Rattus norvegicus: one gene and its partners. The protein of the gene in region 4 interacts with the protein of the main gene of each other region in a pairwise test. Links are inferred from orthologs where the notes say so. Each region holds a gene or a part of one and is shown on either strand. Other genes may lie near its edges. The genes, in order: Cep68, Dtnb, Cchcr1, Ushbp1, Exoc7, Txlna and Bfsp2.

Evidence for each region.
Region 1: the proteins of Ushbp1 (region 4) and Cep68 interact in binary tests that used the Homo sapiens proteins (3 or more experiments, as listed by UniProt). The two-hybrid records come from large-scale screens. The link is inferred for Rattus norvegicus from reciprocal best matches to the Homo sapiens genes USHBP1 and CEP68.
Region 2: the proteins of Ushbp1 (region 4) and Dtnb interact in binary tests that used the Homo sapiens proteins (3 or more experiments, as listed by UniProt). The two-hybrid records come from large-scale screens. The link is inferred for Rattus norvegicus from reciprocal best matches to the Homo sapiens genes USHBP1 and DTNB.
Region 3: the proteins of Ushbp1 (region 4) and Cchcr1 interact in binary tests that used the Homo sapiens proteins (3 or more experiments, as listed by UniProt). The link is inferred for Rattus norvegicus from reciprocal best matches to the Homo sapiens genes USHBP1 and CCHCR1.
Region 5: the proteins of Ushbp1 (region 4) and Exoc7 interact in binary tests that used the Homo sapiens proteins (3 or more experiments, as listed by UniProt). The two-hybrid records come from large-scale screens. The link is inferred for Rattus norvegicus from reciprocal best matches to the Homo sapiens genes USHBP1 and EXOC7.
Region 6: the proteins of Ushbp1 (region 4) and Txlna interact in binary tests that used the Homo sapiens proteins (3 or more experiments, as listed by UniProt). The two-hybrid records come from large-scale screens. The link is inferred for Rattus norvegicus from reciprocal best matches to the Homo sapiens genes USHBP1 and TXLNA.
Region 7: the proteins of Ushbp1 (region 4) and Bfsp2 interact in binary tests that used the Homo sapiens proteins (3 or more experiments, as listed by UniProt). The two-hybrid records come from large-scale screens. The link is inferred for Rattus norvegicus from reciprocal best matches to the Homo sapiens genes USHBP1 and BFSP2.

Annotation. Positions count from the first base shown.
Region 1 is NC_086032.1:98,669,069-98,673,044, forward strand, and holds the start of Cep68 (centrosomal protein of 68 kDa), read right to left. Parts: upstream 2,801-3,976; 5' UTR 2,687-2,800; intron 1-2,686. UniProt on the Homo sapiens protein: Involved in maintenance of centrosome cohesion, probably as part of a linker structure which prevents centrosome splitting. Required for localization of CDK5RAP2 to the centrosome during interphase. Contributes to CROCC/rootletin filament formation.
Region 2 is NC_086024.1:32,285,080-32,289,281, forward strand, and holds the start of Dtnb (dystrobrevin beta), read left to right. Parts: upstream 1-1,402; 5' UTR 1,403-1,672; exon of another isoform or gene 1,673-1,687; intron 1,688-4,202.
Region 3 is NC_086038.1:3,212,766-3,216,265, reverse strand, and holds part of Cchcr1 (coiled-coil alpha-helical rod protein 1), read left to right. Parts: intron 1-118; coding exon 119-229; intron 230-407; coding exon 408-557; intron 558-1,599; coding exon 1,600-1,710; intron 1,711-1,967; coding exon 1,968-2,074; intron 2,075-2,896; coding exon 2,897-3,009; intron 3,010-3,173; coding exon 3,174-3,219; intron 3,220-3,370; coding exon 3,371-3,500. UniProt on the Homo sapiens protein: May be a regulator of keratinocyte proliferation or differentiation.
Region 4 is NC_086034.1:18,099,068-18,103,300, reverse strand, and holds the start of Ushbp1 (harmonin-binding protein USHBP1), read left to right. Parts: upstream 1-1,433; 5' UTR 1,434-1,524; intron 1,525-1,769; 5' UTR 1,770-1,841; coding exon 1,842-1,895; intron 1,896-2,107; coding exon 2,108-2,229; intron 2,230-2,424; coding exon 2,425-2,860; intron 2,861-4,233.
Region 5 is NC_086028.1:102,036,502-102,040,551, reverse strand, and holds the start of Exoc7 (exocyst complex component 7), read left to right. Parts: upstream 1-1,250; 5' UTR 1,251-1,314; coding exon 1,315-1,374; intron 1,375-1,531; coding exon 1,532-1,597; intron 1,598-2,917; coding exon 2,918-3,102; intron 3,103-3,299; coding exon 3,300-3,405; intron 3,406-4,050. UniProt on the Homo sapiens protein: Component of the exocyst complex involved in the docking of exocytic vesicles with fusion sites on the plasma membrane.
Region 6 is NC_086023.1:147,266,474-147,270,624, reverse strand, and holds the start of Txlna (alpha-taxilin), read left to right. Parts: upstream 1-1,351; 5' UTR 1,352-1,464; intron 1,465-1,914; 5' UTR 1,915-1,920; coding exon 1,921-2,086; intron 2,087-2,783; coding exon 2,784-3,122; intron 3,123-4,151. UniProt on the Homo sapiens protein: May be involved in intracellular vesicle traffic and potentially in calcium-dependent exocytosis in neuroendocrine cells.
Region 7 is NC_086026.1:112,939,447-112,943,578, forward strand, and holds the start of Bfsp2 (phakinin), read right to left. Parts: upstream 2,801-4,132; 5' UTR 2,736-2,800; coding exon 2,244-2,735; intron 1-2,243.

The DNA of each region.
Region 1 (3,976 bases), on a different chromosome or scaffold from region 4:
AGGGATGCTCCTTTCGGTTTGGGGCCTCAACAATGAAGCCTCACCGGACTCACAGGTCCAGAGAGAAACGCCATAACACACCCAGCGGCAGATCGTGTCTAGTAAGCGAGGAAGAGGAAAGGTGTGAGCAGGGCATGGAGCTCAACAGGATATGTGGCTTCACGGCTTCTGGGAGCGGGCAGCACAGTGGAGGCCAAGCTAGGCAGGACGGTAACACACAAGGGGTAAATTCATAATGACAAAAGGGAAGACAGGCTTGAGATGGCCGAAACTAGCTGTATGCAGGGTGGGTATCAGGAAAACTGTGGTCAGCTTTTAGAAAAGGAGAGAAAATGCTCTCATAAACTGTCCTGTCCCTACCACACGCATGTGTGCTGCCTCTGACCTCCACACAAGTAACTGCTTCACGTGGTGGGGATCCCTGAGGAGAACTGTGGTGAAGGACAGATATGATCAGCACACTGCATACAGGTATGCAATTTTCCTATGCACATGTATGCTGTACCTACAGAAGCCAGAAGAGGGGTGGACCCCCTGGGACTGGAGTTGCGGACAATTGTAGTGGCCATGTGGGTGTCAGGCACTGAGACTGGGTCCTATAGAAGAACAGCAGCCAGTGCACGTAACTTCTAAGCCATCTCTCCAGCCCCCATATGAAAGGTTCAAGAATTAAAATTTTTAAAAAGTTTCAACCTTGTGGTCCTAGTGGCCCTGTGGGTGGATGGTGGTGGTGTATTGGTGCTGCCCTGACAGCGGTAGGCAGTGGGGGCCAGGGCCTGGTACATACTTCCAGACCCTCTTCCTGCCACAACAGGGTAAGGACTTTAAATCTATGAATACTTTCCCAGGTCACAGCAGCCTTCACAAAGGGCTCAAGAATGAAAGGACAGGGAAGGATGGCCAGCCAGAAATGGAGAAAGAAACGGGACAGTACTGGGGAGAGGGAACAAGTCATGTGGCAGAAGGTAGATAAGTATAAACGGGTTAATTTAAGTTATAGGAGATAGTTGGAAACAAGCCTAACCTAAGGCTAAGTTTTCAAAACTAATAAAAGATCTCTTTATCATTACTTGGGCGGCTGGCAGGTCGAGGCAGTTCGGTGATAATTTGGTTTTCAAATGCCAACTTACATTCTAGATTTATTTTAATTTGCTGTGCTGGATTATCTTTTTTGTATATACCAGAATTTGGTTTGATATTTAGTTGATTTTTTTTTCCACTTAAATTACGAGAAACCGGTGTGAAGCTTTCTTTTCTCATGTCATACTTGTCAAATGTTGATATTGGTATTGCAGTGTTTCATTAAACAATTTGGTAAGTTAAAAAAAATGAAAGGACAGAGACAGTGAAGAAGCAAGAATTATACAGATGCTTGGTACTGGTACTTGAGCGGGGGCAAGACGAGACAGGGTCTCTGTGTTATATAGCTCTGGCTATCCTGGACACACTATGTAGGCCAGGCTTGCCTGAGTCTCGGTGATGCACCTGCCTCTCTTTTCTAAGCACTCCAGTAGGTCTTTTCAAGTACCTCTTTTTATCTTAGGTGTTTTAGGGATTTGCACTATTCCTCTACCTATCCATTTCTTTTTTTTTCCTCGTCGTGCTGGGGCCTAAATTCCACTTTATAGATGAGAAAACTAAGGCACAGAGAAGTGAACTTATCCTAAATTAGTAGTGTGGAAGGGACTGACGTCTGATTCAATTCCGAGAGCACAGCTGCTTCCCTAACCTGTAAAAATAATCCAACAATTTAAAGGCTTTTAAAGGTCCCGGTTTCCTCAACTTTTGGCTTAACTTGTTCTTGTTTTCTTTTGGCTTCCTTCCCTTACAGACCTTTCATCCTGTTAGGGGATGGGGAAACCACCTCAGTGCCAACAGAAGCCCATAAAGGCCGCCCAGAGAAGGGTATGTTTTTCAGTTGTGGGGACAGGGAAAAACTTTTAAAAAAGGTTTCGTGATGATGTGAAGCTGGGTTCCTTACACTGTTCCTAAGGGATCCAGATTTAACCCAGTCCGCTGGGGAGAACAGGAGGAGTGGTGGCTTGTATTTTAACCAAGCCCGAACCATAAAGTGTCGCAAGTTGTATACCAGACTACCTCTTTCCGTGTCTAAACCTCATCAATTCCAAGTGAGGTCTACTCTGCTCGGGCATTGGCAGTTTTTCGCTTCCTTTTTTTTTTTTTTAATAATAAACAACGCACTGAATAAAACATGGTAATCATAAAATTACTAAGTTTGGGGCATGTGCCCCGGGGCTGTGGAGACTGGCTAACAGGTGACAAGGGTAGATCTTAGAGATAACCAGTGAGACGCTTTGCTTTCCTCCTCGGATGCGTTCACTGTGCCAGGGGAAGCAGCGGCCACCCGGACGCGAGTCGCTGTGACCCGCTGATTCCCCACGACCAAGGTCGACGCGCGCACAGCTGCATGGCTGCCAGAGGTGCGGCCCCACGCGCTCTGCAGGCCGCGCCGGTCCTCCACAGCCTGCCTTTTCGCTCCCCTCCACCCCGCACGGCCCGCAAGATGGAGGCGAAGGCGCGAGGCGCCCCCACTGCGGCCAGCCTTTGTGCCCTCCGGGCCGCGGGCCTCCAACAGGGTCCCCCAACGCGCAGCCCCAGGCACGCGGGGAATGCCCGGTCTCGAGTCTCGGCGCAGCGACACTCGCGCCCGCCACAGCCTTTTTACCTCACTCCGCGCCGCCGCACGTCCCAAGCGGCTGGGATAGCTGGGCCGGGGTCCCAAGCAGCGACGACGGGCCTCCTGCGGGCGCCCGCACTCCTGGGGCTGGGAGGGCCCAGCGCCCGCCACGCCCTCCGCCCGTGCCGCTTCTCCGTGGAGGACGCCCGAAGAAGCAGCCAATCCAGACCCTCGGTTCGGATGCTTCACTAATCCGCAGCCCGCTTCTGCATGAGAGCCCGCCCCCTGCAGGGCCCTGGCCTATGGGAAGCCGGAGCTCCTTTCTCCGCTGCTTCGACGCGCGGGCGGGGTGGGTGTTCGCGGTCCTGGCGCCCACGCGGACTGGCGCGGGTAGCAGGGCGCGCTCTTGGCGGATAGGGGGCCACTGTGGGTTCAGGCTTGTGTTTGGGCGGACGTGCTCTCCGCCGCAGGGAGGGTGGTTCCAGGCCTGGTGCTCCCCCTTTTACGTTGTGTGGAAACCCCAAAGGCATGCTCGAAGCAAGGGCGGGAGGCGGGCGAGGACCAGGATTGGGTTGAGCATCCCTCTGCCGGTCATCACCATTCGGAGCCTCTGAGTCGCAGGAGGCCCAGACTGTCAACACCAATAGTTGGAGAAGGGACTTCCATAGTGGCCTGGGCCTGTGCGGTTACAGAAGGAGCTGGACTGATCCTAACACGACAGAGTCCAACTTAAGGATCACAAACTTGACTGCCAGGCTGGCCTGGTCAAGGGGCTTCTCCTGCCTCAGCCTCCCCAGTGTAGGGAGTACAGGCAAGCTCTATCATGACCAGCTTTTTATTTGGCTTTTTTTTTTTTTTTTGTGAGAGTAAGTTTCACCGTATCCCAGGCTGATTTTGAACTCCCGATCTTCTGTCTCTGTCTTCCAAGTACTGGGTGTTTTAAAGTGAAAGTGTATTGTTATATACAAGGCCTTTAGTTCCCTCTTCAACCCAGAAGGAAAAAGTTAAAAAGGAATTCAGAACTGAAATATGTCGAATGGGAAGTTAGCATTTACCAGTGTGTATCCAGTTACTTGTTTAAGGGGGGAAAAAAAATAAAGGACTTAAACGAAGTCGTTTAGCAGTCAATACTGTAAACGCGATTGAGCATCTGGATGGTCTCAACAAGGTGTGTTCTGTACTCTTCTTTGATCTTGGCCCACCGTCCTTCTGTAAATGTTCCTGCTCAGTAGGAAGGGCATCCTGAAACCCAGAAGTTCAGGAAACACAGTTCAGAGAGGAAGCCTCCTCAGCAGAGGCGGTGCAGCTCCCAAGGGAGAGTATCTCCAGCTGAGCTGA
Region 2 (4,202 bases), on a different chromosome or scaffold from region 4:
ATTCTATAAAAAAATGGCAATATGAGGGGCTGGAGAGATGGCTCAGCAAAGAGCACTTGCTATGTTATCCGAGGACCTGCGTTTGATTCCCCAGCATCCATCCACACTTCACAGTTCCAGGGGATCCAAAACACTCTTCTGGCCTCCGGGGGCACTCACGGGGTGCAAACATTGCAGCCCAAACACTCATACACATAAAATAAAACATAAATGCTTTAAAAAAGGATAGATGAGTTGGTAATAAATATAGATACATAAATAAATGAAGCTTTGTCGCCCCTGCTCCCTTGTCCAAGCTGTTTAATGTCCAAATACTCCCACTTTCAGGAACTACTGAACGACTAAGCGGAAAGTAATCTGTCCCTCCTCATCCTCTCACCGCATCCGGCTGTGGCTTGCCTTTGCGCAGAGGACCGGACTCGGTCCTTCGCAAGGCTGCTCTTCTCCCTAAGTTATGCGCTCTTGGGGACCAGGGCCGTGACCCAGATCGTGTCCACCGGGCACCAGGCGCATGAGTTAGTGCTCAAACGAGCCTGCTGAGGCAATGTGGAAAGTCACTCGGGGGAGGACCCGGCGCTCGAGGCGCGGGTGAATGATTCACCGGGTATTTCTTCGCATTCCTTACGGTTCAGTCACGTCGGCGCAGCACCCAGCCGCCCGGCAGCTACCTGTGGAGTGGAAGCGCACCTCCGCCTCCACCTCCGCCTCCGCGGCCAGCGCACAGCAGAGGCCCGGAGGGGGCGCGCAAACCCGCGGGAGGGCACTCGGCCGCCTCCCCGCCCCCTCTGGCGGCGGAAGCCCCGCCCCTCCGCGCGCCCGCCCTCCGCGCGCACCCGCCCTCGCCCTCGCCCTCGCGCCCTCGCGCCGGGGGCGGGCTCGCTGCGCGTGCCGGGCGGGGAAGCGGCGCGAGCCGGCGCCAGGAACGTTCGCCGCGGGGGCGGCTCCGGGGCCTGAGTGGGCGCCGCCGCCTCAGTCGCTGCCGCTGCTTCAGCTGCCTCTGCCGAGGGGGCCGGGTCGGAGGAGGCTGCGGCCGCCGGAGAGCCACGCGACGGCCCCTCAGCTTCGGCCGGGAAGCGAGCCAGGTGGGGAGTCCGCCGGGGCTGGAGGAGCGAAAAGGAGGGCTGCGGGGTGGCGGAGCGCGCGGCCCTGGAACGGCGACCCTTGGGAGACCGCACGCCGGGCCGGAGAGGGCTCTCCGGTCACCCGGGCGCGCGGGGGGCCGCGGAGCGCAGAACCCGGCTGCGCGCGCTGCTGATGCAGCCTGAGCCGGACTTGCGGGGAGGAGGCTCAGCGTTAGGTGCTGAAGGGGGCGAAGGCGGCAGGTCCTGGCAGAGGGCAGGTGAGGTAGGCAGGCCCTGGCAGAGGGGAGGGAATTCATTCCAGATCACCTCTCAGTGTCTCCCGAGGCTCCCGGTAGACGAACCTGTCTACTCAGGTCACCTCTGATGGGCACAGTGTCCCGAGAAGAGCGAGGATGCAGCTGACGAATGCTTACTGTTAAATTCCTGTGCCAGGCCTTGGGGAATCAGGGAGACCTTTCTAGCATTCTCTGCAAGCGTTTATTGATTAGCTACGGAGCAGGAGAGAACCGCGGTCAGCGCCCGGGTCACGACTTTATCACTCTCAACCATCATTTATTTGCTGTTGAAGTGCTGACAGTCCGGCTGTGAAAGTATACACACAAAATGTAAAGTGCTCTATTTTATGTTTCTTGTTCTGTTCACTTCAGGTCTCTTTAGGATTTTCCCAGCCCTGGGAAACTGGGCCGTAAGTTGCTTGGCTTGTGGAGAAAGTAAGATACTTGAGGAAAGCTGGTGGGAGCTATTGGGAAGAGATTTGAAGGGTCTTACTGACATTTAAAAGAGAGGGGAAAGAAATTTGGAAGGAGAATCTTGCCTTCCCAACTAGAATTAAGCTCCGCGCCTGTTTTCTGCCCAGTCCTCAGGATGTGGCCTGGATCCCGAAAGCCCTACAATGGATGCCCACTGCAGGAGTGGATGGAGGGACCAGGGTTTGATACATTTGATATGAAGTAGTGTCAGTCTCTGTAGAGTTAGGGATGCTCGCTGGCTTCCTTTGGTCCTAGGATTCTCTTTTTGCCTTCTCAGGTAACCCAGGGTTTTAGACGCTAAACCAGTGGCTTAGGTGGCAGACTCCGGTGGCTTGTGGCCACTTCTTCATCCACGCGGTTCTTGTATGTTGTGCACCAGAAGCTTGTTCTTTGGGTGGCTGCTTGAAGTCAGGTTCCGGTCCTTCTCTCATTGGCCTTTTCCCCCCTCCTCTGTCGTTTGAGGAGGACTGGAGGGAGCTTTTGCCTAGAGAACACTTTATAATTTCTATCCTGCCTCTTGGATCTTGGTTCTGAGGTGAGAGAATGCTTAAGTCTCTTCAGGTCTGTAAGGGCTGGAGTTCTGTCCTCTGCCTTGCTTGGACTCTCCAGCCCCATACTGCTGCTTCCTTTCCCTGGCTTGCAATGCCTGTTGGATTACTTTGCTTGCCAAATTAAAACTTGACCTTTTATGTGTTCTCTGAGGATTTTTATCAGACTTAAGTGGAACTGCCTCTGAAGGGGTTGTGCAGGCAAGGTGGTGCTGGCAGGGTCTTTAGCTTCACTGAATTTTGCCCGGGAGACAGAATATAGTTAAAATATTAGAGTGCGCAGGATTTCCAGTTACCCTTTATTTCATGTCTTCAGATGTTAACATATCTGACCCTTAGTCTCCTTATATAAAAAATAAGAGCAATATTAATCCAAATTTGTCATTGGATATATAGAAGCCTTGAAGTATATTCATTTAGTTCATTTTAATTAGTATTTGCATTTCAGGGTACAACCATTAAGTCTCTCTTAGGTTTTGTTTTGGGGTGCCTATGTGGCTTTGCAAATTTGGGTGTCTTGTTTCGGGCACTTCTAATATTTTATTTAGATATTTAATTTACATTTATTTGAAAATAAACCCTCTACCCCCGGTTTTTGAAGCAGGGTCTTGCTGAGTAGTAACCCCAGCTATATTGGTACTCGAAATACAGTAGCCCAGGCTGTAAGTTGACTTTGAACTGTGGCTATCCTTCTGTTAGTCCTTCCTGTGAAGCACCATGGCTGGTTAAAACAAACTTTTTGTTTGTTTGGGTTAAAGATAGGGTCTCTCTCTGTCATTCTGACTTTGAACTTATGTCTATTCTCCTATCTATGTGTCCTGGGATTACAGGTGTGCACTACTGTGCCTTCTTCATGTGTAGTTTACATAGGATAAAATGGATAGACTTTGCATATTGAGTTGGGTATTTTGAAAAAATGGTACATATTGGTGGGCATGGTGGCATATGTCTTTAGATTGAAGTCCTTAGGAGGCAGAGGCAAGCTGATCACTTCAAGTCCAGCTAGGGTTACATAGGAAGACACTGTTTCAACAACAACAAAAAAAGCAAAACAAAGTAACAAAAGTCCCTCCCCCAAGAAAACAAACAAAAAAAGAAAAGACATGTGTACTTTGTAACCTATCCCAATCAAAATATATACTTTTGTATCATGAGAAAGTTAACTCCTGCTGTCTTGGGGACAACCCCTCCCTCTATTTTATTAACTTAAAATTACATAAGCATTAGAGCTGTGGTTTCTAGATGTGCTGGAGGTACGCTGCTGTTCTAGGGTGTCTTTTGCACTGGAGTCTCTCTGTGCTGGCAGCTCCTGGAGTTGCAGTAGTTTGAGCAGTTCAGAATGCATATTTGCTTGTAAATTGCTCCAAATAAAACTCCCTTGACATACCTACTCCTTTTTCTACTCCGGTTACCAGTTTGTTGTTTTCTTCCCAGGCCTTTTTCTATGCATTTTACTTTTTTTGCATGTGTATGTGGTATGGGGGAGTCTGCATATGGTATCCATGTACCATACATTGTATATGCCTGTGAAAGCCCAGAGTTGACACTGGAGGTTCTCAGTTGCTCTCTTACTTATTTATTAAGTTCAGCCTCCTCCTGAACCTGGAGCTGGCCAATTTGGCTAGTCTAGCCAGTCAGCTCGTTCTGATGACTCCTGTCTGTCTCTAGAGCGCTGGCATTGTAGGTGGCTGCTATACCTGCCTGGCTTGTATGCGGGTTCTAGAGATTTGAACTCCAATTCGTATATTTGCGTGGCAAGTGCGTTATCCACTGAGTCATTTCCAGCTCTCTTTGCATTTTACTATAGCATTCTGTCTAGGTTG
Region 3 (3,500 bases), on a different chromosome or scaffold from region 4:
AGGGGATGGATTGGGAGGAGAGAGCATAGCCCTCTAGAAGGGAAGCCATGCTGTCCTTGGGACTACCCTCGGTCTGAGGGTAGCGTGGGGATCCTGAATGATGGAGTTCTTTTCCCAGCACTTGAAGGAGGACAGGACTAACCTTCAGGCCACCGTGGAGCTACTGCAGGTACGGGTACAGAGCCTCACACACATGCTCGCCCTGCAAGAAGAGGAGCTGACCAGGAAGGTAGGCCCCTCCCTCATCCTCCAAACCCTGCCCTGCTGTAGGCCTTCCCTCTCTGGGGAAGGTAGGTGGTATACTACTGAGACCCCTAACCGCCTCACCGTGGATGGCAGGACTGGAAGGACAAGGTCACCAGTTCCCGCCTCCTTAGAAGATCCATTCCCTTCTTTCCCACGTGCAGATTCATCCTCTAGACCCCTTGGAGCCCGAGTTTCCTAAGAAGTGCCGCTCGTTGCTGCGCGGCTGGCGGGAGAAGGTGTTTGCCCTTATGGTGCAGCTCAAAGCCCAGGACCTGCAGCACAGGGACTCCACCAAGCAGCTGAGGGACCAGGTCAGGGGCTGTGTCTCTCCCAGTGATGACAGTTAGTCTTTGGGTGGTTGCCACATGCTGGGCACAGAGCCCTGAGCAGAAGAGTCCCCGTTTTCACGGAGCTTGAGTCCTAGAAGGACGCACGGAGAAGCAGAAAAATGGGTCACATCGTCATACACGTGCTACGGAGAAGCGGTGGTGACAAGACTGAGGTGGATGGATAGGATGGTCAGGGACGGCCTCTCTGAGCAGGCCACAGCATCCATCAGGGCGTGGCACAGTCAGGGGAAGGGATCAGGATGGTTTCCCAAAGCGTGGGCAGCCTGACTCAGAAAGAAGATTCAAGACAGAGTTTTCTGTGTACTGTAGCTGTCCTGGAACTCACTTTGTAGACCTGACTGGCCAATAAGTGATCTGCCTGCCTCTCCCCTCCTCATGCTGAAATTAAAGGTACGTCTTACCACACCATACCACACTGGGCGTTCTTTTCTTCCTTCCTTCCTTCTTTTCTTCCTTCTTTCCTTCCTTTCTTTTCTTCTTTCTTTCTTCCTTTCTTCCTTTCTTCCTTCCTTCCTTCCTTTCTTTCTTTCTTTCTTTCTTTCTTTCTTTCTTTCTTTCGTACTTAATTTAGCTGGGTGTGGTGTACTCCTTTAATTCCAGCAGGTAGGAGGAAGAGGCAGAGGGTCTCTGAATTTGAGGCCAGCCTGGTCTACATAGTGAGTTCCAGGACAGCCAGAGCTACATAGTGAAACCCTGTCTTAGAAAGAAAGAAAAGGTGTGTTTATTTTGTTTTATGTGTCTGAATGTTTTGCCTGCATGTATGTCTGTGTACCATGTGCCCATGGAAGTCAGGAGGTGTTTGCTCCCCCAGAACTGGAGTTACAGATGGTTACGAGCCATCCTGTGGGAAAAGGGACTCGAACTCTGTGAGAGCAGCCAGCGTTCTTAACCACTGAGCCATCTCTGCAGCCCCAGTCTGGAGACTCCTGCCCCGTCTCCTTCACCGGCATTCCCCATAGCTTTGGCTCTAGATTTCCCTGCTCAGTTCCCTCTGCTCCTGTAGGTAGCAGAGCTCCAGGAGCAAGTGACTGCCCAAAGCCAGGAGCAGGCCATCTTGCAGCGTGCCCTACAAGACAAGACTGCACAGGTGGAGGTGGAGCGGATGAGCACCAAGGTCTGAGGGTGAAGCTCCTTAAGGGAGGAGGGTGAAGCTCCTTAAGGGAGGAGGGTGAAGCTCCTTAAGGGAGGAGGGTGAAGCTCCTTAGGGAGGAGGGTGAAGCTCCTTAAGGGAGGAGGGTGAAGCTCCTTAAGGGAGGAGGGTGAAGCTCCTTAGGGAAGGAGGGTGAAGAAGACCCTGGCTGGGTCTGTGGGCCAGGGGCCAGGGAGGGAGGTGTACGAGAGAGAGCGCACACAAAGCTGCATCCTTACCAGACCCTGAAGATGGAGCTGAGTCAGGCGCAGGAGGCCAGGTGGAGGCAGGAGCAGCAGGCGGCCTCTGCTGAGGAGCAGCTGAAGTTCGTGGTCAGTGCTATGAACAGGTATCTGTCACAGAGCAGCAGGTGGAGGAGCCCGGAAGAGCCTCAGGCGAGAGAGAGAGAGAGAGAGAGAGAGAGAGAGAGAGAGAGAGAGAGAGAGGCAGGCAGGAGGATGCAGGATGGAGTATGCCGGCTTCCTGCACTTTGGTCTACTGTGCTCTGAAGCTAAGTAGGGCAGCTAGGAGGAGCTGTGACTTCGGAGGTCAGGGAAGGGAACTGCAGCCGTGTGCAAACCTCCCTCCCTCCCTCTCTTCCTCCTTCCTTCTTTTGCAACCCTAATTGTACAGCTGGGCTGGTCTATAGCTCAGTAGCAGAACACTTACCCAGCATTCAGGAATCTCTGGTTTCAATCCCTGGCACCAGAAAGGAAAGCTGAAACTTTTAAACTTGCACAGACAGAGTCAGACTAGTTTAGAAGAACCAGATTCAAAGCTCTGCACGTGCCTGCCTCCAGGAAGATGTTACGGTGTCGTGTCTGGGGTTTTACTTTCTGCCAGATCACATACATGGTTCTCAATAAAAGCTACCAGAAAGCCCTTCCAGGCTTTGAACACCCGTACCCCAGTTGAGATGTTCTGACTGAGCTTAAGCACTTAGATCCTCTAGGTTTGCTAAGGAGCTGGATTGACCTGCAGGGTTCGCCAAGGTCCTGCCTCTCCTGTAGGCTCCCGTTTCTCCTTTGCTGGCTACTTAACAGCCCCCCCCCTCCCCCCACACTCCCCGCTCATGTACCAGGACAGGACAGACGTGTCCTCTGCCCCAGACCCTGCGGGTCTTGAAGGGATGAGGGGAGGAAGGACCGTGAGTGACCTATATCTTCTTCAGCACTCAGGCCAGACTCCAGAGCACCATGACCAGGGTGGACCAGGCTGTAGCCCGGATTCCCAGCCTCTGCAACCGGCTCAGCTATGCTGTCCGTAAGGTCCACACCATTAAAGGTACACAGAATGACCTAGCCCTCCTTCCGGCCTAGCCCTCTTCCTCTTAGCTCTGGATCTAACCCCATGTTTGTCCTCTGTTGCCTTGGTAACTATCACTGTCCTGTGCTCCCCGCCACCCTCTGTCCACGTGTTCTCATCTGTCTGTCCTCTCTTCTCTTCAGGTTTGATGGCTCGAAAGTTGGCTCTTGTTCAGTTGCGCCTGGAGAGGTAAAGTTCGGGCACATTGAGGTGGAGGGGTGTGTGTGGATGTTGGGGACAACCTGTTGGCTGCTAGGACCCAGAGGGACCAAGGAGGGGTGGAGGCACCGGTCACTCAGTTGCTGGGGAGGTTTCTCTGACTCCATCATCGCTGTCCCAGCTGTCCCCCACCTGAACCTGCACCCCCACCGGACACGGACCTGAGCCTTGAGTTGGAGCAGCTACGGGAAGAACGGAACCGCTTGGATGCAGAACTGCAGCTAAGTGCCCACCTGATCCAACAGGAGGTG
Region 4 (4,233 bases):
TGTCCAGGAACCACCCTCAGGTGAAGTAACAGCTTGTTCGTTTTCCTTTTTGTTTGTGACAGCTTCATGTGGCCCAGGCTGGACTCTAACTCTAGAGCTATATGGTTTATCCACTGTAGAAGCTTCCCAAAGCTCCTTTTCCCCTGAAGCGGCGCCGGTCAGGTTCCCGGGGAAACACAGGAAACCCAAATAGCCGACCAACCTTGCAAAGGATGCGCCTTTCTCGGGGTAGCGTCTCGGGACTTCAAGCTTCCCCCCCCCCCAAGTTCTCAAGCAGAACGAACCTGAAGCTGCAGCAAGCCGAGTCGAAGTTAGACCGCGGCGACACAAAGTTCGCGCGCGTTCACACCGCCGCAGGTTCCACTGCCTGGGTACCGGGGCCAGTCAATCAGGTCTCTAGGAAGCCGCCATCTTCCTTACCGGAAGTGCTACCTTCTGGGAAATGTAGTTCAGTGGCCTTCAGGACGTGGAAGCTGATAGGCTGAGGCGTTCTAGGGGTGTAGCTTGGAGTGTAACGGGCTGGAATGGGGCTGAAGAGGGAGGGGTAGTATTGAGAGTGGGTGTGACCCGTGGTGAACTGAAGCAAAACTGAGAGGAATTTGTAGTTCGGGCTTAATCACACTAAGGTTCTCAAGGCCTCTGCTGTGATAGGACAAGAGATTGAGCTGGGCGGGGCCGTTTGATGATTGACGGGGTAGGAATTGGCTTGGACTTGCCTAGGGCCCTCTCAGTTACTTATGTGACTTGGGCTGGTATTCATTCACTAGTTCCGCGATGCGAGCTGGTGGTGCACACCTGTCATCCCAACACTCCAGAGGCCCGAAGACGAAGATCGGGTGTTTAGACAGCCTGGACTATATGAGACGCTGTGTGAAAACCAAATGGAAAGAAAAAGTAAAGAAGCCACTGTGGACAAGCTCACTGTCGCCGGTGACTCCAACGGCCTGATGCAGTAGTTCAGTCTCGTTGAAGAGAAACCTTGTGGGCTACTGAACAGGTGCAGGCTCTTGCCGCCAATCCTGACGACCTGAGTTCGATCTCGGAGACAAGCAGTACCATCACAGACAAAGATAAATAATGAAAAATAAAAGCTATGCAAGTGCTGGAGCCAACTCTCTTAGTTTTGTTTTTAGAGACACAAAATAAAATTTTAAAAAGACCTTCACATTAGAGCGAGCCCTGATGAACAGGGGGACACAGAAAATCCAAAATAAAAATGGAGGCACTACATGTTTGGGCTGGGATAAGGGGATACTGATATCTTGGAGTGGGACAAAGGTCCTGGTCCTCCATCCTCTTCCTGTTCTGGAGGAAGCTGGCATCCTGGAGAAGGAAACAAAACAATAACTGTCCATGTGATCAGGGTAGGGAGCTTCCTGTTTCTCAGCCTCTCCCAGGCCACCTTTGGCCATTGCAGCCTCAGTAGCCAGTGGCCAGAATGGCCTGAGATATTCTTAGGAGTTCAGACCTTTCCCAAGGTGCCCTGGAGAAGAAGAGAAGAGGGCCGCAGGGCCAATCCCCAGGGTGAGGGAGTTTGGTACTAAGAGAGTCGTGGGAAGAAGGAGAAATCTTAGGATACCACTCAATGCCTCCATAGGGAAGAGAGGGGGCACAGATAAGAGAAATGAATTCAGACAGCGGAGGGAAAAGGAATGCCCGGTAGAGATGGGTGACGGGGAGGAGGAGACAAGTAAACAGTGGGCACTATTGGAGAGGTATTTAAATATTTAAATGTGTCAATCAGTTCAAACGAACCAAAACTCCTACAGGAAAAAACAAAAAACAAGGATACCAAGGTAACAAAAGGCAAGAACTGAGAGCAGGCTGTAGTGACAAGAGTAATGAGTGCCCGGGCCACACGACCCCGAAGCCGGCGAGGGAGGCATCCTCTGCCTGTAAGTGTGCCCCTCTTCCTGCCACACCCAGCCCATGGATCCTGGGAACCCAGGTCTGCTTGGCTCAGAACCTGTTGTGGTACAGGGGAGACCTCCACAGGGAGAGCTGGATGTGATGACCAAGAGCCCGTGTGTGTGTGTGTGTGTGTGTGTGTGTGTGTGTGTGTGTGTGTGTGTACGCACCCGCACATGCACGGGAGTGTCATTCACAGGGGGAGCTGGACCCAGTAGCTGAGAGCTCAGAGGAGGTAGATACCACCAATGGGAGCTTCGAGACTAAACCTGAGCTGCTTCAGGAACATCTTGGTCCTAGCCTGCAGGGCCCTGGGAACCGGTAGGATGCCGGGGCCCATACTCAACTGCCTCCAGCTGCTCACCTGCCATAGCTTCCCCTGCCCGCTTCTCTCCTCTTCCTTTTTACCCTCCAGCCATGAAGCTCAGTCCCTGCTCAGCCTTCCTAGGGACCCTGGGGTCAGCCCTCCGCCTCTGCTGAGTCTCAGGTGGCTAGGGTTCCTGATTATCCTCACAGGATCAAGGAGGATTGTGATGTGGGATCCCATGGGGTCCTACCCTTGAGCCCGGAAGAACGGCGCGAGCCTGAGGTGGAAGCCCACCAGGCCCTGCAAGAAGCCCCTCTGGATACTGGCCCTGCTGAGATAACAGCACCCAATGTGTATGAGACCTTGAAGTGCAGGCTGAGCTCCCTGGAGGCAGTTGTAGCTGCCTGGCGCCGCCACTCGCTAAGCTTTTCAAAGCCAGTGGAGGCAGAAGACAGAGACCCGGGAGCTCCGGGGTCTTTTGGTAATGAGGAAGAAGCCTCTGGACCTGGACAGCAGGAGGCAGCGCACTTCATAGAGAGGAACGCCTGGCTCCGGCTGGCCCTGGGCACCCGGGAGGAGGAACTGGCGCGGACTCAGGCTTCACTGCAGGACGCCCAGGCAGAGAATGAGACTCTGCAGAGACAGGTGAGCTGGTGACTGGGAAAGAGGCAGATCCTGCTTTGAGAGTAGACACTGACGTGGGTGGAGCAGTGGCAGATGTGCCAAGGAAGTGACCAATAAAGACAGCGCGGTGAGAGGGGGAGCAAGGGAGACCGGCAGTCTGCACCCCACGATCTTAACACGCAGGAAGCTCAAGAGGGACAATCTCTACTCTGGCGAGCCCTGGCTAAGACCAACGTTCTTCTCAGCTGTAGACTGAGTCCAAGGTTAGCCTGGGTTACAGACCCTGTCTGTGTCAGTTGCACCGCAGACAGACAGACAGACAGACAGACAGACAGACACAAATCTTATCTTGGGGGTGGTGTTTTTTTCCAATTCAAGGTTTCTCTGTGTAACAGAGCCCTGGCTGTCCTGAACTTACTTTGTAGACCAGAATGGCCTCGAAATCACAGAGATCCCCCTGCCTCTGCTTCCCTAGTGCTGGGATTAAAGGTGTGAGCTATGCCAGATTTGTTTTAAGGTTTCTATTGCTGTAATAAAACACCACAATCAAAAGCAATTGGGGAGGAAGAGATTTATTTCATCTTAAAATTCTCAGGCCTCACTCTGTCACTGAGGGAAGCTCAGGCAGGAACTTGAAGGCAGAGGTTATGGAGGTGTGCTGCTTACTGGCTTGCTCTCCATGCCTTGCTCAACCTGCTTTCTTATCTCAGCCTGCCCAGGGATGGCACTACACACAATGGGCTGGCCCCTCCCTCCCCATCAATCGTCAGTCAGGAAAATGTCCACAGGTCCAATTGGGGGAGCATTTTCTCAATTGTGGTCCCTCTTCCAGAATGACTCTAGCTGAAGTCAAGTTCACACGAACCAGCACAACTCCTGAGATCACTGTAGCTGGAACTGAGTGGGAGAGGTGAAGGCACGTGGGGGAAGGTCACAGTACGCAGGGTGCTGAAGGCTGGGCAGGATTTACAACTGTGTTCTTGTGTGTGGTGGGTTCTGAGGGGAACCCTGCTGCAGGTGTTCACTTGCGCCATCTGATGCCTGTGAGAGGAACAGTCTGGCGGTGGACCATAATCCTGAAGGTGGAGGAGGGGCGACAGCAGTGGCTCGGGGCGTTTAGTAGAGGTGACCAAAAAACCTACAGATTATGGGTGACGTTAAACCCAGATGTGATAGGACAAGCCTGTAATGATAAGGACTTCAAAGGCTGAGATGAGAAGATCATAATTTAGTACTAGCTTTGAAAAGATAGGCAATCGTCTCAAAACAGAACAGAGCCCTAGCTGGTTCTGCTAAGAATCCTCGTCAGCCTGTGGGCGTGGCTCAGGGTAGAGTGACAGCGTAGAATACTCCAATGAGGGGCTAGGGGCGTGGCTCAGCGCTTAGCTTTCAGA
Region 5 (4,050 bases), on a different chromosome or scaffold from region 4:
GAGATAGGGCCCAGGGATTGACCTGCTGCTGATTGGCTCAGACTGGATGAGTAAGGAGTTTAGCTTTTGAGAAATGAAGAGTTGGTGCCTTGAGCTGGGGCAACAGGAGGGGCAACGGTTGCAAGGCAGGGAGATAGAGCAGAGAAACAAACAAACAAACAAACAAACAAACAAACAAACAAACAAACCAACCAACCAACCAACCACATACTCCGTGCAGGAAGTGGGGATGAATCTGGTGGGCTAGCTGAGGGACTGCCCCGGCAAACAGGTAAACAGCCTTGTACTATACAGATGTCTCAGTGTCTTTATTATTAATCTCCACGTGGGGTCCCCAAAAGCCCTGAAGTATCTATTGTGAGCCACTCTGTGTGCGATCCTGTCTCCAGACTTGAACCGTTAAGGTATGATTTGCAGAAACAAATTCATCACCTCAGCCAGAGCTTTTATCACAAATCAGGGGGTGGCAGCTGGAAAGATGGCTCAGCAGTTAAGAGCACTTTCTGCTCTTCCAGGAGGCCTGGGTTAGGGTTAGGGTTCCCAGAAGCCACATGACAGCTCATAACTGTAACTCCAGTTTCAGGGGGATCAGATAACCTTCTTCTGGCCTTCCAGGGGACCAGGCACGGGCAAAAAACATCTATACACAATTTAAAAAAAAAACATAAATAAATCATGATCTGGTGAGATAGCTCTGCAGGTTAATACACTTGCTACCAAGCCTGACACCCGAATCTAATCCCTCTGGGACCCACACACGTGAAGGAAAGAACTGTATACCCTGTATACCCACTACAATCCTGCACACGGTAGGCAGAAGTCAGCCTGGTCTACACAACCTATTCCAGAACAGCCAGAATGGTCTCAAAAAAAAATTTTTTTTTCAGGTATATTGTTGATTTGCTTGGTTTTTGGTTTGGGGACCGAGTCTGACACTGTAGCCTAGGCTAGCCTGGAATTTACTATGTAACCCAAACTGGCTTCGAATTCGTGAATGGTCTCCTGCCTCAGTCTCCCAGTGTGAGAGTGTGAAGATGTGAGCCAGAATTCCCAGCAAGGGTCTGTCTTTCAAAGAGGCGAGCAAAGGATCTATGCCTCAGGTGAGCAGCTTGTCCAGCCACATTCAAGATGGCTTCGATCCGCAGCCCGTTCGCGAGCTACCGCAGGCACACACTTCCGCCTGCCACTCCCAACATGGCGCCACCGGAGCGTCCGGGGGCGGGGCCGAGGGAGGAAGTGGGTGTGACAGGGACGGAAGCCGAGCAGGGTTTGGAGCTAAGACATAGGGGAGTGGGAACAGCGCTGTCCGCTGCGATGATTCCCCCGCAGGAGGCTTCCGCTCGGCGGCGGGAGATCGAGGACAAGCTGAAGCAGGTGACGCTGGGGAGGAAGTGAAAGAAGGGCGCAGGAGCATCGAACCGGGGTGGAAGGGGACATAGGGTTAGGTGTAGGCCGTGGTGCTGGGTGGTGGTGGTGGTGGTGGTCTTTCACCATCCGTTTGTGGTGATGTCCACCTCTCTGCTCCTCGCAGGAGGAGGAGACGCTGTCCTTTATTCGAGACAGCCTGGAGAAGAGCGACCAGCTCACTAAGAACATGGTGAGTTGCCCCTCAGCTGGGAGGCTGCAGACAGGCTCCTGGGCCCCAGAGGAGGGGCATGTGATGGACGTGTCCTGCGCCTGAGTCCAGGGACTCCAGCGTGGGTAGTAAACTGTGGTAATATGTAGGCATCTCATGCGGCGATGGGTATCTCTACTCCCCAGTCTCCACCCCCTCACTGAGGATACCGCTGGCCTGGACCTGTTACTGTCTGTCCTTCTGCAAACATTTAGTGATACTTTGTACATGGTCTGGTGCTGGCTCCGTGTCATTGTCAACTTCAAGCGATGCATGCTTGCCTGAAAGGTTGAGCTAGTGAGATTACCGAGGTAGAGAAGTCCCAAGGGGCTTTAGAAACAGAAGTGTCTCAGAGAACTAATGGGTCTTAGATCTAGCCCTTGTACCACAGCTTACTTTAGTGGTTCCTGGTGGGTAATTTATCTGGTAAAACAATGTCAGCCTCCCAGTGTGTCTGTGAAGGGGCATATACATGCTCACAGTGTCTGGTATATGATAGATACTTTAAAAGTGCTTGATCTTTTCCTTGGGGAAAGAGTTTTTTGGGCTTTGTTGTTGTTTGTTTTGTTTTTCGTTTTAGGCAACAGTAATAATATTTGCAACTATTCTGGGTAAGGCTACTTTCTGTTCAGTCTAGGAAAACTTCAGAGAGAACAGAAATTGAGATTTGGCTTTCAAGGGTAGAAAGGAAGCTATCCTGAAGTGTTTTTGTTTTTGTTTTTTAAGATTTATTTATTAGGTATACTGTTCTGGTTGTGTATATGCCCATGTGCCAGGAGAGTGCACTAGATCTCATTACAGAAGGTTGTGAGCCATTGTGTGATTGCTGGGAATTGAACAAGGACTTCAGACAAGCAGCCAGTGCTCTCAACCGATGAGCCATCTCTCCAGCCTGATTATCTTTTTTTTTTTAAGAAAATGTATTTTATGTGTATGAGCGTTTGCATGTGTGTATGCATACTATGAATGGGCAGCGCCTGCAGAGGTCAGAAGAGGGTGTCAGATCCTCTGTAACTGGAGTAAATTGCATGCTGGGAACTCAATACAAGTCCAAGAACAGAATCATCTCTGTAGGTCCCTGGGAATGATGATCTCAGCAAGAATTAGTTGAATGTTTATCTTGCCTTAAGATGAAATTCCAACCACATACCAGAACCACTAGGGATACAGGGTAGCAAACAAGTCGACCGTGTGCCTTCCTATGTGTAGCTTGTTGTCTAGAAAACCAAGGAAAGACAAGAAATGTCTGAGTACTTCCAGGACAGCCCTGAGGGCCATGAACCAGAGGAGTTCCTCCCACAGGTGTCTATCCTGTCGTCCTTTGAGAGCCGACTCATGAAGCTGGAGAACTCCATCATCCCTGTGCACAAGCAGACAGAGAACCTACAGAGGCTGCAGGAGAATGTCGAAAAGACCTTATCCTGCCTGGACCATGTTATCAGCTATTACCACGTAGCCAGCGACACGGAGAAGATCATCAGAGAGGGGTGAGTTTCATGCAGAGGGTCACATAATTAATGTCTCCTGGACCCATGGCCCTAGTCCTTAGAAGGCAGTAAAACACATTTGAGGGTAGAGCCCCTCGTAGGGATTCCCTTCCTCTCCTGCAGATCTTGTCTGTAGTCTGTCTAGTTAATCCCCGTCCTCCAAGGCTGACTGACCCAGGTGATGTCTTCTTTCCCAGCCCCACAGGTAGGCTGGAAGAATACCTGGGAAGCATGGCCAAAATCCAGAAGGCTGTGGAGTACTTTCAGGACAACAGCCCAGATAGCCCAGAGCTCAACAAAGTGGTAAGGAACCTGTGGACTAGTGTAAGACAGACAGACGGACATCAGTCCCCATCCGCATCTCATGAGGGACACGTGACAGTTTAAAGAAGTATGTGGAAGCCAGGTGTGGTGGTTCATGCCTAGAACTTGGGAGCTTGAGGCTAGCCTGGGGTATATGGTATTCCAGTCCAGCCTGGGTTATGTAGTGAAACCATATCTCAAAATGTTAAGCAAACATATAAAGGAGGGAGAGATAATAGCATTCAGAATGCACACATTAGGTCCTGTGCCTCGGGACTTACAGGCATAATTTTTTTATCGTACTATTTCAAATGTAAGTTTAGCGTTTGAGTTTTATATATGCATTGGTGGTTTCTTCATTATGGTAAAAAATATAGGGGTTGGGGATTTAGCTCAGTGGTAGAGCGCTTGGCGCAAGGCCCTGGGTTCGGTCCCCAGCTCCGAAAAAAAAGAAAAAAAAATATATATATATATCTCCTGTACTTAGGCAGGGTGCCTCACACTATAATACTAGGACTTAGGAGGGCGAGGCAGGATTGCAGCAAGTCCAGATTGGCCTACATAGTGAGTTCCAGGATGGCCAGAGCTACATAGCAAAACCCTATAAAGCAAAACAAACACATTAATCATAAAACCGGCCATTTC
Region 6 (4,151 bases), on a different chromosome or scaffold from region 4:
CAGCTTGATCTATATAGCGAGTTCCAAGTCAGGCAGCACTAGAAAGCAAGACCTTATCAAACATAGCAAACTCCAAACAAGTAAATAATTGAAATCACAATTGTGTTTGTTTTTGAATGATCTAAGCATCGAAAATCCTAATGAACAAAGACAAAATCTAACTTTCTAAAGCATTAGCCCATGTAGGAGCACGTGGTACTTTGCAGAAAGTGGGGCAGGGCTGAGTGGGAGTTTACCAATCCGCCTAAAGCCAAACCTCCTTGCTACAATCCCCTCCTGAGGATCCAAGCTGGTGATGTCAGAAGGCGGGGCATACTTGGTCTCAAAGCCTGTGATGGCGGAGAATGGTTAAGATGGGTTTTAGTTGGATCTGAGGTAGAAGCCAGCATAGTCAAAGACTAACAGCCAGGGCTACACGGAGAAACCCTGACTGGGCTGGGTGGAATGGAATGGGGCACTGGGGAGAAGATTAAGAAAAGGATGGGTGGTGTCAGGCTTCCAGGTTTGAATCCGCAATAAGCACACAGTATTGATGGATGGAGCCATAGATTATTTACCCTTTACCTGGGCATGGTGGCCCGTGCCATTAGTCCCAGTCTTGGAGAGACAAAGACAGGCAGAACTCTTGAATTCAAGGCCAATTTGATACACCTAGAGAATTCGGGGCCTGCCAAAGCCACACATGAGACATTGTCTCTAACAAACAATAGTACATACTTTTTTCTTTTAATTAGCCTTTTCCGTACTGCCCTATATTTCCCAGATCTCTGAGTATAATGTTCTTTCTCTGAGTAATTATGAGGACCAAGCTATTACATACGAGGGAAGAACACATTGTTTGGATTATTATAAACCTTCTACTGGAATGGAGAGGGGAGGGATACTAGGCACATAACAAATTAGTGGTTTGGGCGTGAGATAAATATCTCCTAATTCACAGTTTACCCTTCTTTCTCTCTTCCACTCGCAAGTCCTCAGAGATCCTAAAATAGTCATACATGTTCATAAGGGAGTGTATGAAAAAAAATCCAGACTGCCAAAGTTTAAGGGCCAATCATAGTTTCTGTACTAGGAAGGAGGCTGACACGAATCTCTAGACCGAATGACATAATTTCGGACCCTCAGGGTATTTGGCTCCTAAGCTTTTCGGTTGCATCTCGGGAGTTGTGACCTGCCGCAAGGCATGAAGGGACTCGTAGTTTTTCCCACTCCCGCCTCCAAAGCCGCCTTGGCCTCTTTTCCCAGCAAGCTCCGCGCCAGCGTTTGCTGTTGATTGGCTGCCGCAGGAGAGGGTGGTCCAGCTGGCAGCAGTTACCCAGGTTTCCGGTGCTCGGCCAGAGTCGGGGACGCGGTCGGACGTCCGCGGTGAAGTATGTCTTTGGGCTGTACACGGGACGAGCTCTTCAGAGGGTCCATGACCCAGGACGCGTTAGCCGCGGAGGAACAACTAATTCTGTGGACGGGGTGGGGAGAGTTGTGTGCTGCCGTGCTGCGCATGCGTACTTCGGGTCTAGAGGGCGCGTGGGGTGTGGGTGTCTTCTGTGTACGCGCGCGCGCGCGCGGGAATCCCACGTGGGACCTGGTGGGGCGGGGGGCCGGTCGGGACTGGAGCATCCCGCCACGTCAGTCTGCGGCTCTGAGCCAATCCCGCGCTCCCGCTGCCGAGAGGGAGCCGTGTGGTGCTGAGAAGTGGCATTCAGGAGAAGGGAGGCCTCTTCCTTCCTTCACTCTGTGCTGGTGCAGCTTCTCGGAAACCTTGCCCGGGACCGTGAAGTCTCAGGCGAAGGCCGACCAGTTTGTTTGAAGCTTAGAGCTTCAGATTTGGAGATTTCTCATCTAGGTTGTGAAGAATTTTGAAGTCTAGAAAATAGCAGCGGTGTCCGTAAAGGATCTACCCCTTTTCTGGCCTTGCAGATCACAATGAAGAACCAAGACAAAAAGAATGGGCCTGCCAAACACTCCAACCCGAAGAACAGCCCTGGGCAACGGGAAGCAGGACCGGAGGGAGCTCATGGACGGCCCAGACAGACAGCTCCTGGTGCGGAAGCTGAAGGTTCCACAAGCCAGGCTCCTGGGAAGACCGAGGGTGTGTGCCAGCTCTGCTTTTCCAGTGGGCAGAGGGAGGAGTTTCTGGTACTTGCATCTATCTGAGGCCAGTATTTACCCAGGAAGGAGGAACTATAGAATGAAACAATGCCCATTCTGTGATCCTCATGTTTCCTAGGGAGGTGATGAAGCTTTCCACTCTTAGCCCTGGAACGGAACCTTGGGGGCATGCTCTGACTGGTTTAAACCAAATGACAATCAAATGAGGCGCCCCATAAGCAAAGTCATATTCCCACTTGCCAGTGCCCGGTGATTAATTGTCCTTCATAAGACAGAGCGTCTGCTACACGTCAGTCGTCCCTCTTGTAGGGGTGCTTTACACAGTTGTCTTTGATGGTCATAACAAGTATGTTTGGGTGTTAGAAATAATTGTTTCGTCTTATAAAAACGTTTTATACGACTTAGGGTTTAAAAAAATTAAATTGAGGCCAGGCATAGTGGCCCTCACCTTTGTTCTCAGAACCCAGAAGTCAGAGGCAGGTAGATCTGAGTTTGAGGTCATCCTCATCCTCATAGTGAGTTCCCAGACAGCCAAGGCCCTGTAGAGAGAGCCTGTCTCAACTGAATAAATAAATGGAACGTTTAACCCACACAAGTGGTGTTTGTCTGGGCTTAAAGAAGAAGAAAACCCAAGGGAGCGGTGTAACCACCTAACGTTCACTGTCTTCATCTTGTAGGCGCTCGAGCTAAAGCATCTCAGTCTGGGGCCCTCTGTGATGTCTCTGAGGAGCTGAGCCGACAGTTGGAAGACATTCTGAGTACATACTGTGTGGACAACAATCAGGGAGGCCCAGGTGAGGAGGGAGCTCAGGGGGAGCCCACTGAGCCTGAAGACACAGAGAAGTCCCGAACCTATGCAGCCAGGAATGGGGAGCCTGAACCGGGCATTCCAGTCGTCAATGGCGAGAAAGAGACCTCTAAGGGGGAGCCTGGCACAGAAGAGATCCGAGCAAGTGACGAGGTTGGAGACCGAGACCTTCGAAGGCCACAGGAAAAGAAGAAAGCCAAGGGTCTAGGTGAGGGGGAGCTCCTGCTGACGGGAGGGAGTGAACACTTGCCATCTCATGGGCTAGCCTGCTCTGTCTGGACACAAGAGAATCTGCTTTTCAAGACAGTACATCCCCCCAGTTTAGTCAAAGATGGGGTCATCCCATTGAGCTGTTCAGATCACTCACTTGTGCAAGGCCTCCTGGCCTTGGGAGCCAAGTGGAGGCAGGAATCCAACTAGCTTTCTCACTGGGAATATGGAAAACCGGAGGGAGGCCTAAGTGCTCGACAACACCACTTTCAACCTGCTGTTTGACTTTGGGCATGTTTATTCTCCACTCCTAGAGAGGGTCTTAGTTTCCCTGTTTGTACAGCAATAGAATTGGGCTACACCAAGGTTGAAATATCAACATGGACCAGGTAAGCCACAGACCTCTTCAGAATCAAGAAAGGGCCTTCTTGATCTGAAAACCTGACTCCTACCTGGTTAGTCCCCCAGTCGCATCTGACCAGCTGAATAATTGGTAACCAAAATAATAGAAAGTAAGCAGAGGCCTCCATTGGTTGGATTTGCCATCTCCGTGTTACCTTTTGGGCCTCCCAGGGCTGACAGCTCAGAACCTGGTCTGTGCTGAGTACAGTGGAACCCAAGGGAGACAGCTGTAAGGCTTCCCGGCTGAGGTAAAGCAAGGCAGTGGCAACCTGGCACCATGGCGTACACCTTTAACCTCAGTACCTGAGAAGCAGGAGCAAGTGCATCTCCTGAGTACCAGACCAGCCAGCTGCATAATGAAACCTTATCACAAACAAAGGACAGGAGTGATGGGACAATGTGAAAATACGAACTTAGAACCTAATGCAAACCAAATATGGTAGTGTATGCCTCTAATGGGGAACTAGGAGGAACAGAAGCAGGAAGATGCTGAGTTCAAAGCCAGCTTGGGCTACATAGCAATACCCTCTCTTTGTGTGTGTGTGTGTGTGTGTGTGTGTGTGCGCGTGTGTGCGCGTGCGCGTGTGTGCGTGTGTGCGCGTGTGTGCGCGTGCGTGCGCGTGCG
Region 7 (4,132 bases), on a different chromosome or scaffold from region 4:
CGATATCCGCACGTTCGGCTTCTGGAGCCACTTTCGATATCTGCTTACTGGACTTTGTATCTGAACTCTCTAACCTCGACATTGAGATGCCTGGTGCCTCCTGGTACATGTATGTGCATGGCATCTGAGTATCATGTTGTCCAGCAGATGCTGCTGAGATGAAATATATGGCATGTTCTAGGGGTTAGTGTGCCACACATATTTGAATTCAAGATAGCCGTGGGGACTCCCAGAGGAGTGGCTGCCTCTTGTACAGGCTGTAAAGCCCTGAATGTTTGAGGCTCTCCCTCACAACTCAGAGGAGTGTGGACAGAACAGCTGCACTGGCCAGAAGGACAGTATTGTATTCCCTTCTCTATGGGCTGCTGAGAACAGTGAAGGAGAAGCATCACGGGCTGAAATGGGGGCCTCCATGTGTGCCTCTGTTGGTATCACCCAACCACACGTAGGCCACTCGTTGACCTCCTCTCAGTCTACATATCTGACTCCAGGGAGCAAATGGGACTTGGCTACTTCTGGAATAGAGACTGATTTAGTTCACAGTCATCCCAAGGCCAACATTCAGGGAAGAAGGCAGAGCCAGCTACCCCCGGAGCTGAGATGGACAATGCCTGGGGGGTGGGGTGTGTGTTCTAGTCTTAGAACCAGAGCTTGCAGGCGCAATTGGTAGATGAGCTTAGAGTTCTATGGAAATTATTTCAGGGAACAAAAAAGCAACTCTGACCAGGTGACAGGGAAAGGAGGCTGCCACACCCCTGCCCAGCAAGATGACTGTCGGCTGTAGGTGGTGATCTGAAGGAACAAAATCCGGGTAGAACAAAGTGTCAAGTGCTCAGTCTCAAAGGCCACATTCCAAGGACTCTGTTGCCATGGATGGTGTGATGTAGCAATTTTTTGAATGGAAGGGGAGGGAGGAGGGTGGATCCTAAGATCCAGGAAGTTTGAGGAAACTTAGAAGGCTTAGAGCCTTGTAAGAGTCACGCCCTCCCCCATTATATATGCAATAAACCCTTGTGGGGAGGGGAGGCTCTTCTTTAGCGCTACCTGCAAATTGGGCAGGGAGCTCTTGGGGTATAGCTTTCATGAGTCTTGCCCGTGCGCTTTTCAGGGGTGCAGTCTCCTTTGATACAATCATACTCAACTTTGGTAAGTAACCCCGATAAACTCATTGGTACTAAGCTAGACTTGGGTAAAATATTTGATTGTTGGTAGTGCCCTGCCTGGGGCAAAATGCATTTGTCCATGTCTGCCCAGGAGAAGCCACATAACCGATGGCCAAGACTGTAAGACATTTCCATCCTCCATAAGGGTCTATCTGAGTCAGAACTGTTGTGCTCGTATTTCTGTATTGATTTCATACTGAAATAATCTTTTTCCTTATTGAGTCAAACAAAATATTAACACCAAATTCACTTGTTTATACACACACACACACACACACACACACACACACACACACACACACCATAGGTAATAGGAAATTGAAAATTACTTGTATGGTCCATATTCCCACTGATCCCATATACTCATTTTATCTGGATATAGGAGACCCCCCATTTATTTAGTCACCATTTAAAATAGCACATCCATCCAATGGTATTGGGTTCTGTGAAGGCTTGAAAACCCTTTGCACTAACGGTGACGGAGGCAGTCCCAGATAATAGGACAAGTGCAACTTTGAGGAAGGGAAATCCAGGGTCACATAATCTGCTGCATCTCCATTATAGTGGTTCTCAACCTTCCTAATGCTGGGACCGTTTAATACAGTAATTCCTCATGTTGTGGTGGCCCCCAGCCATAAAATTATTTTGTTGCTACTTCACAACTGTGATCTTGCTACCGTTATGAACCAGAACAGAAACATCTGATATGCAGGATATCTGCATGTGACCCCTAAAGGGGCTGTGACCCACAGGTTGAGAATCGCTGCTCTATTTGCTTATGGCCTGGGACCTTGTACACAACTTGGGTTTCTCATCTGAAAAGTATACACAGTGAGAGATTGGTTGCAGAACGTTGTTGGGGTGTTTTTGGTGTGCGTCGGGTGTACATTATGCCTGGGTGGTCCTGGCTCCTGGTCAGCCTCAGTGAATGGCAACTCACCAGTATTAATCTTAGACCACCAGCAGCTTTGGTATGCAAGTGGTCCGCTTCCCTGGCCTCTGATTCTGCGCCATCTTCACTACCTTCACCATCCTCTCTCAGACCTCTAGTAAACCTCCAGGCACAGCTGGAGGACTTACCTGCTGGTAGCTGCTGGCCCAGGAGGCACGGAGGGCATCCCAGCCTCCGGAGCGCTTGGCCTTGCTCTCCAAGTGAGCCCGTAGTTGTGTCTCCAGCTCCTGGCTGACTTGTTCCAGAGCGTGCACCTTGGTCATATACTCCACTAGGCAGCCCCCCAGGTCCTCAGCAGTGGCGTGATTCCTTTCTGGGCCTGGAGCAGGTGCAGTGGCAAGGCCTGAGCTCCGCAGGCCCTGCAGGAAGACACTGCTGATGCCCAGGGCCCGGCGGGTCACTCGGGCACCGAGGCCACCTATGCCACCACTGGGTGCTACTCCTACATAGACCCCAGGGGCACGGACGAGGCTACCTACAGCACTGGTCCTGGATGCTGGGGGGCTATCCAGGGAGGAAGGAGATCGTGTTCCCCTAAGGGATGACACCCTGTGCCTTTGCAGGGGCATGCTGGCGTTGGATCCTGAGGGCAAGTCCATTGCTACTCTCCTCTCGCTCATTCTCACTGCCTCTGTGGTGCATGGCAGGTTCACACGGTCCAGTGGCTTTTGGTTGCCGCCCCAGCATCCCCATGGCCTGGTCACGGGCCTCTCTGGAAGCTCCCCTGTCCCCGAGCTCTTTGTCTACTGCCTTCCACGAGTTTCTGGCATTCATTGAGCTGGAAGAGAAGCGCCCTACCAGCCTGTGAGAGGCACACAGGCATTCTCTGTTGCTGGGTCATGTGCCCAGACATCCAGACTTTTCTGGGGTTGGGGGTAGAGCAGTGCTGCCTGTGGGAATGGGTCATCTAGGTTTGCCTATTTCTTTTTAGATAGTGTCTCTATCGTAGGTGGGCCTCAAAATCCTTATGTAGCCAGGAAGACTTTAAACTTTTGATCCTTCTGCCTCCAATTCCTGTGACAGAATCGGGCCTCATGCATACTCTCTGAACCTCAGTCTTTGGCCTTGATGAGTATGTTACTACCACAGAGAGGTCAGGTGGGCAACAAGCTGTCCCTATTTCACTGGTGAGGAATCGGGCTACAGAACCTTAGAAGACAAGCGTTCTGATCTCCAGATCTCACACTACAAGCTGAGACTCCATGCAAGAGCCCCAGGGCGGTTTACAGGACTGGCCTTATCCCTTCATGTACGAATGTGTGCATGAGCCAGCCCAGCCACGGAGGAAGGCAGCCCCAGAGGCCCAAGGAAAACGAAGCAAGCCTGCTCATGCTTTCTCCCTTCGGGTCTGGCAGCTGTTCCAGGCCCCTTTCAGCTCCGTTCTTCCCTCCCCGCCATGTCTGCCCTCTGACACTGTGCTTGTCAGCTGCTGGCTGTTGGCCTTGTTTCTCGTCCTCTCGACCTTGTTGTACATGCTGCTCGATTGCTAACTCTGACACAGCAGACGCTCAGGAGTGAGTTTAGGACCTGAGCTGCTTGCTGGGCAGCTGTTGGCTCTGGTTTCCCTTTCACCTCTGTCTCACCCTTTAATAAGACCAAGAAGGGAAAACAACAAAGGGGTTTCCTATCCAAGTTAGGGTTTCCTCAGCACCCAAGGATTTTTATCTTATTTTTATGTACATTGGTGATTTAACCGCATGCATATATGTGCGAGGGTGTCAGATCCCCTGGAACGGGAGTGACAGAGTTGTGAGCAGGCATCCCAGGTTTTACTCCTTATCTTTGGCATCCTCCAAGTCACACTGTCAATGGTTAGATGCCAGTCACTTCTCGGGGGTAGAATGGTCCCTCCAGCCTGAGCAGGACATGGTCCTAAAAAGCCATGTGCCAGGTGAGGTTTTAGTGTATTGAAACCATACACCCTAGGTCCAGAGATGGACCGTGGACTCCTTGGTCCTGTAATGGGAGGGTTGATGAGGGTTGACCCCAGGCAAGAGACAGGGACAGAAATCAATTT